2 linked regions of the Coturnix japonica genome follow. The protein of the gene in region 1 purifies or fractionates together with the protein of each later gene. This does not show direct contact. Links are inferred from orthologs where the notes say so. Each region holds a gene or a part of one and is shown in the gene's direction. Other genes may lie near its edges.

Region 1 (3,812 bases):
CTCCTCTGTCCCACAGGCACTAACTCTATAGTTCTACCAGGACCTAGCAGAGGAAAATGCATTCTCTCCTGGTCCATCCTTGGTACCAGTGGAATCAAAGCTGTGTTGGAGCCTCAGGGCTCAGTCTAAGTAGCTAAGAAGCACTGACTTCTCAGGGCTGCCTTTTGTTGCTATGGAGCTCCAGGTCTTCTGCAAGCCCAGCTCTGAGATATCATTTCTAAGTGTCTTCCTTATCAGTTGAGTAAAAAGGCACGAAAACAATAAAAGCATACTCCTTATTACTTTGCTACAGGGCTAATTGCATAAAATATGAGGCAATCCAAGTATTTTGTTTTGAAATATATATAACCAAATGTTTTCAGAATGTCTCATCCTGGCTGGGATGCAATAAAAGATAAACATCTTTCTTTTCAGGGCCATGTTCTGCAATGATCTAAGAGAGAAGTATGAAGAGAAGATTATACTTAAAGGAGTTGATGCAGAAACCATGAATATACTCTTGGACTATACCTACACCAGCAAGATGCTCATCACAAAGCAAAATGTGCAGAAAGTTTTGGAAGCCGCCAGCCTCTTTCAGGTACAGATAGCTCAAATGCGCAGATAGTCTTGTAGCTCTGGCTACAGTGTGCTCTATCCTGGTTATAGTACTGCATACTTCTTTGGTTCCATGGGTTCTGGGGGCACTTAGCTTTGTTTCTATTTACACTGTGGTAGAAACTGGCCATGGCAGCCATGGGCTGGAATGCTTCTGCACTGGGTGCTGTACTGGCAGGCAAACAGCAGGGCTCTGCCTCCCAGAGCTCTTGCCAGGCTGCGGGCCCTGGGCAGTGTGTGACAGATGCTCCCCTCCATCTCTGCCCTACCAGTGCCTGCCCAGCGGGACAGTAACTTCATCTCCACCTCCTCCTTGCCTGGAGATTGATGCTCACTGCACAGTCTGCACCTGCCTTTGCAGGTGTCCTGGTTTTAGTCACGACCAAGGCAGTCAGACTGAGCAGTGTTACTCAGCCTTTGGTCCATCAATTATAATTGATGTCCTGTAAATCACCTGTGAGGTCTAGCAAATTGCAGGTCCTGGTACCAGGCTGCAAATCCCTAACAAATTGCAACCAGCATAACCTGCCAAGTGCCGGTGTGTGTGTGTGTGTGTGTGTCCGGGTTAGCTAAAGGAGGTGAGGAGCACCTGACTCCCTAAGCACCACAGTTCATGATGAACTAAAGATTCCTGGATCTTACTGAACACATCATGTGTTGCTGTGACACCAGCCTGGTGCTTTGTGGTGAGGGCAGTGCTTGCTGTGGGGACAGCAGGGAAGTTACCCCTTACAATGGGGTAGCTCAGGGAAGGTGCTTGGGGCTGTATGCAGCTTGCTAATGTTTTCAGCAGACCAGTACTGCTATGGATAGCACTCAAAGGTTGCTCTGGGTTAATTTTTCAGGGCACGTTCCTGATATTTGAGTACTGATAAATTCAGGAGGGTGCTGTTAGCAAGAATAGTGAGCTGCAGAAACCTAGAAAACAAGGGATGTTCTCTGAGGAGCAGAGATCCCAGACCTTGCTGCAGCTGTCTTGGACGCCCTCAAGATTTATAAGGCCTGAAAGACTCCCATTATACACGGGTGAGGTTTTTGGCTGAAGATATGTTCTGTGTAAAAAAAGATTTAGTAACTATGAGCATTCTGCCAGGTTGCCTCTGCTACGCACACTGAGGAACCAACAGAAACATTTGGAAGAGACTAATGTTTCATATCAAAATATTTACAGCTAAAAAGATGAATGCTTCCATTTGTCGTAACGTTGTTCTTGGGGCGCTTCTTTCCTTCCCACTTCACCATGTGAGAAAACCAATTTCCAAGCAGTACTTTCCTTTTATTTTTTTCCTCCAACCAGCAACAGTTTTTGGCAGTGCCTCTCTTCAACCTCTCCAATTTGACTGAGGACCAGAAAATAAATCATTTGCAGAGCGTGGCCTGGGTCAAAGCTGGGACAAACAAGGACTCACACTGAGGGGAAAAGGCTTTATTATTCAGAGAGAGGGCTGAGTGGGGGCCAAGCAAGCATATGGGATGCCTCTAGCAAGTAAGAACATGGATTTGAAGGGGCATGAGAAGGACCCAGCCACTGGGGAAGATGTTCACAGAGAGCAGGGCTTTCAAAATGCCCAGGGCGGTGTGAGGGATCCTCACAAAAGGGACAGTGGGAGCAGGGGAAGCAGAGGCCTGTGGTGTCCTCCTCCTGCGTCACCTGCCCTTGTGGGGCTGACTGGGGCCTGACCAGCAAGGTCTGGGGAGTTTGAGGGAGTTTTGGCGGTAGGTGAAGGCAATGGTGGGAGCCACACAGCAGGCTGGGGAAGTCCTGGTGTGCTGCACTCTGGGCAGCCAGGCTCTGTCTCAGCAGCGCTGCTTCTCACACCCACATCTCACGGTTCTGCATTTGGCTGCACAGAGGCAGTGGTGTGGCCCTGCACCGTGCTGCTGGCAGACTGATGTCACAGGCAGCAGCATGTCCTGAGGCCACGTGTAGCCTGGTGCACCAGGCCTTGTGTTTCTCTAAACTCCTGATCACATCTAAATGTAAAACAGGAACCAGGTAGTCTGCACCCAACATCTGTGATCGGCCAGCTCTGCTATATGTTCTGAATGTGTCAACACAAAATCAAGGGGTCTAGAAGATTCTATCCTGATTAATGAGACAAATCTAAATACTGTGGTGTTTAAAAGTGTCTTTTATTTGTTTCACTTCCTCTTTGCCCCTAAATTACTGTTATGCAATTTTCCCCTGTGGGACAGAACAAGTTAAAATGATCTGCTTGCTGTGTCAGATGGAAAATGGACCCAAAAGGCATGGACAGAAATGCACAGTGTCTGTTCTAGCCCGTCTTTCTGTATGTCACTATTGCATCACTCAGTGACAACTGATACGAAGCACTGATGTCCTGCTACATCTGAAATCACAGAGGAGAAGGAAAGCCCAGCACAAAGCACTGTAACCTGTCATTTGAGTTCAAGAAATGGGGCATGGTCAAGTGGGGAAATATTAGTGATGGGCGGATGGCTGGACTGGGTGATCTCGGAGGTCTTTTCCAGCCTTGGTGGAATGGTTTCTGCTCTGAGTAATCACCAGCAACCCAGCTCACACTGTAGATATCTGTGGTCCAGGAACAGGTTGAGGGAGATTGACGGGGCTGTCGGGCAAAGGAGATTAATGGCAGTAGCTGTGATGCTGTATTAAACACAAACATAGGAAATGCTTTGATGAAGATTGTGTGCAAAAGGCACATTTATGTTTTATGAAGGAAAACAAAGGTTACTAAGATCTCTGAAGATCTCTAAAGCACACAGTAGCAAGACAGCCCTCACTGCTTAGCAGATCAAAATTATACAGGCTGTCCTCCTCTTCCTTCCACATCTCCAGAACAGGATGGCACACCTTTGCATGTGGGGCAGGGCAGCACTTTGGTCCTTGCCTTCCAGACTACAACATTCTGGGAGATACCTGTCCACCTGTCCTCGTATGATTGATTTCTTGTCTCTCCCAGCTCCTGTCTATTTTTTTCTGCCCACAGTTCTTGCGCATGGTAGATGCTTGTGCCAGTTTTCTCACAGAAGCCCTTCAGCCAGACAACTGCGTTGGCATCCTGAGACTGGCTGATGCCCACTCCCTGCACAGCCTGAAGCAGCAGGTGCAGAACTACATTATCCAGAACTTCACCCAGGTCCTGAGCTACGATGAGTTCCTGGAGCTCCCATCTGATGTTCTCTGCAGCACGCTGAAGAGCGATGATCTCTATGTCACAGAAGAAGCACAG
Region 2 (3,536 bases), on another chromosome or scaffold:
TCCTGCAAAACAGGAGCGTTCCCTGCATTCCCCACGCAGCTTCGTCTCCTGAAATAATTATCAGTTTTTTGGCTTCTGCCTGCCAGAACGAGATTAACAATCTCCGTCTGGTCCCTGGGCTCTGAGCGTGCCCGGCTCCATCGCCGCTCGGAATGGCACTCCTGACACTTTTTGGATTCAGGCTGTTGCTATGGCACCTTCTCACTCGGGTAGGCTGGAGGTTTCCTTGTATGGAGCTCCGCAGAGTGGCCGTGGAGCAGAAAGGGGAGAAGGGGTGGGTGGGAGCAGCTCGCGTTCCCCACCTCCCCGATCCACTTAGAGGCGCAGCAGGGGCCCGTGGAGCCCTGAAATAGAGATCACAGCAGCAGCCTCTGCTGCCTGGCTCACAGGACATGAGCGAGGTTGGCTCCCAGCTTTGTGTGTGCTCGCTGTGCTGGTGGGGGCAGGTGGGGGTGTTCCAGGGAGCCGCTGCGGTGTGCAGCCCGGTGCAGGGCTGTGCTGTGCGGCACAACGCGGTGCCACGGCCGTGTGTGCTGTGCTGCCCTGGGGCTGGCAGCATCACAGCCCTTTGCTCAGCCCTCAGAGGGAAACCCCCATAAAGGGGACTGGGGATCACCTCGGTGAGCTCAGAGACCTGCTGGCAGTGACCACATGTGTATGATGGGGATGGGGAGCTGAGGTGAGCACAGCCTGGTCCATGTGTCCCGTCTGTGCACCCTGGAGGAGCTGCAGCATCAGTGGTCACATCCACGCCCCAGGTGAGGGCCTGCAGGCACAGTGCTGGGTGTCAGTGCTGGGTGTCAGTGCTGGGTGTCAGTGCTGGGTGTCAGTGCCGTGATGGCCGCTTGACACCCACATGGGTTCAGGGCTCAGCCTGGTGCTGCTGGTCCTGCAGCCGCGGTGCTGCCGCTGCCTGGAGCAGCTCTGCCCGCATCTCGCCTGCGTGGAGCTAGTGAGTCACTGGAGATCTCCTAGGTAATGGATAATGTAATAACATTTCAAATTAGCTCTGCAGAGCGGGAGGAAGATCTGGGGGAACTCTGGGAGAGAATGCAGGCAAATCTCACTGCAGTCTCCTCCTCTCGGGTGAGGGCCAGCAGCACCAGGGGCCCTGAGCTGTCCCCCCCCCAGCCCTGCTCCTTGCAGCCTGGCCATGCAGGGCGGCAGCAGATGGGCTCTCTGGGGACTGAGGCAGCTCTGTGCAGCTCAGCCAAGTGGCAGCCTGCCACCGTGTCCCCGGGAGGGCCACGTCACCTCACGGCGGGTCGCAGCAGGGTTACCTGTATCACTGCTGCAGGGGGGACACACAGACATCCCTGTGCATGCACGGAACCTGGTGCTGGCTGTGCCTTGGCTTGGGGGCCAAACAAAGCTGGGGAGCGCAGCAAGTGGGCACCCAGTCTGTGAGCTGGTTGTCCAGGAAGGGAAACTGAGGCACAGAGAAGTGTCTGTGAGAGTCTCTGCAGGGCGGTGCTGCCTGCTGCTCCCCAGAGAGGTTTCCTTTCACCTCAGAGCTGTTTGCTCCGAGATGGCAGTGGGATTCCCACCCTCCATCTGTACAAGCTGATGGTTCTTCTCTCTCTCTCATCCTCAGCGAGTGCTCTTGACCCCATGCCCCAAGCAGCGCAGCAGGGAATGGAGCAGGAACCTTGCGATGCTTTTCTCTCTGCCTTTCCAGGTGTCTGTGGATATCAGCAGCAGCACAATCCGCGTGGCAGTGCTGGAGGGGAGCAGCCAACGTGTGCTCATGGAGGGGAAGCTCACACACAAGATCAACACGGAGAGTTCCCTCTGGAGCCTGGAGCCAGGGAAGTGCGTTTTGGTAAGGGCTGCCCTCTCCTTGCCTTGCCTTGCAGCTCCCTGTGCTTGGCCTGGAAAATGGGAGCAGCTGGAGGCTTGAGCCAGAGCTGGCTGCGTCCCACGCTGCCTTTCCCTGGCTGTCCCTGTGCAATGTGCAGCTCATGTGTGCCAGGCAAGGGGAAACCCCACTGCTTGTTTCTGTGCTGCCCCGGGGTTCTGACACGCTGCCGGTCCTGTTGGAAGCAGTCAGTGCAGCTGCTTCTCGTTGCCTTTTACGTCTTCCTGGTCGAGGTGGTTTGGGGGCAGCAGCTCGTTATGGGATCTGCTGCCCCACAGTGAATTGCTGCTGGCTGCAGGTGTCTCTGGTGTGCTCTAGCGATGTGGGCAGAGGGGTGATGCTGCTGGACTGTTCCCACAACAGAAGGCAGTTGATGGGCACCCGAAGGTGCTGTGACTTTAGAGTAGGAATCCTACCGGGTTCATCCCATTGAGTGCAGAAGTGCCAAGGGAAATGCATAGAAATCATGCTCAGGCAGATTCTGTGATCTGGGTTGAAAGGGACCCCATGGATCATGGAGCTCCAACCCCCGGCCGCAGGCAGGGCCACCAACAGCTGGTACCAGACCAGGCTGCCCAGACCCCATCCAGCCTGGCCTTGAAGATGTATCCTGGGGCAAGAGACCAGCTGCCAGGAGGGCCCTATGGGAGAGAAGAGCATCTCCAGATCAGTTGGCCGTCTGAAGGATGTTTGAAAGGAGACAATGGGATCATTCATCAACACTTTTCAAACATGGAACTTTTGAAAACCGTCTGATTTGGGCTTGTGCACAATCCTGGGAAGGAGCAATATTGTTCAGGAGGAGCTGATCCACACGTGGCTGTGTGTGGGCAGCTGGCATTGCCTGCCCGTGTCCTGAGCTCAGCAGGGTGTTACACAGGATGGGAGCAGTGTGGGCAGAGCGAGACTCGGGGCTTTCTGCTGTGACCGTGGGGAGCGGACCCCTCATCTCCAACCCGAGCTGGAGGCAGGAGCCTCAAATTAGCACGAGCTCAGGGCTGTGAGGATCTCCAGCTGGCTGCCAACATATTGATGGTGGGATGAAATGTCTCTGGAAGAATTGTAAGGTAACTGGAGCAGAGTGAGTAATTCAACCCCAGAGTGTCTCCTTTCTCCGTGCGCAGAGTAGCCGAAAGCGCCGGGCGATTCCTTCCATTCATTCATCAGGAGACACGCAGCCATTTGGTGCTTCAGCTGCTGGGAGGGAACTGTGAGCACTGGGCTTGTCCTGAGCATCTTCGTGCAGGACGTGTGAGCTGCCGGGGGCAGCAGCCTCCAGTGAGATGGGGGCACAATGAAGCCATGCTCAGTGTGCCAGCGCTGTGCTCGCTGTCTGGACGGTGCCTGTCCATTCCCCTCACTCCCAGATCTGGCCGAGCCCTCGGCACATTTCATGTCCTTGGGTGCTTTCATGGCTCTTTGGCACCCAGATGAGGCAGAACCCCGTGGGCTGTGGCTGTGGAGCTGCCTGCTCTGCCCGGCGCCGCAGCCCGGCCGTAATCCCCGTGCTCTCCCCTCGCTGTCACGCCTGCTCACTTGTCAAAAGGGAGATGAAAATAGCTTCGCAGGAGCCGTATTTAGAAGGCTCTGCTGGGTGTTGTGCACAACACGTTGGGGATTATTTTTGTTGTTGAGGAGCTTTTCCCCCATTCCCTCTTTCTCTCCTCTCCAACGTTTG

The links.
Region 2: the proteins of KLHL6 (region 1) and NUDCD3 purify together in Homo sapiens (affinity purification with mass spectrometry; 3 studies listed by BioGRID and IntAct, counting the BioPlex papers as one, with this or other methods). This does not show direct contact. The link is inferred for Coturnix japonica from reciprocal best matches to the Homo sapiens genes KLHL6 and NUDCD3.

The regions. Positions count from the first base shown.
Region 1 is NC_029524.1:735,203-739,014, forward strand, and holds part of KLHL6 (kelch-like protein 6), read left to right. Parts: intron 1-414; coding exon 415-580; intron 581-3,569; coding exon 3,570-3,812. UniProt on the Homo sapiens protein: Involved in B-lymphocyte antigen receptor signaling and germinal center formation.
Region 2 is NC_029537.1:94,167-97,702, reverse strand, and holds part of NUDCD3 (nudC domain-containing protein 3), read left to right. Parts: intron 1-1,678; coding exon 1,679-1,822; intron 1,823-3,536.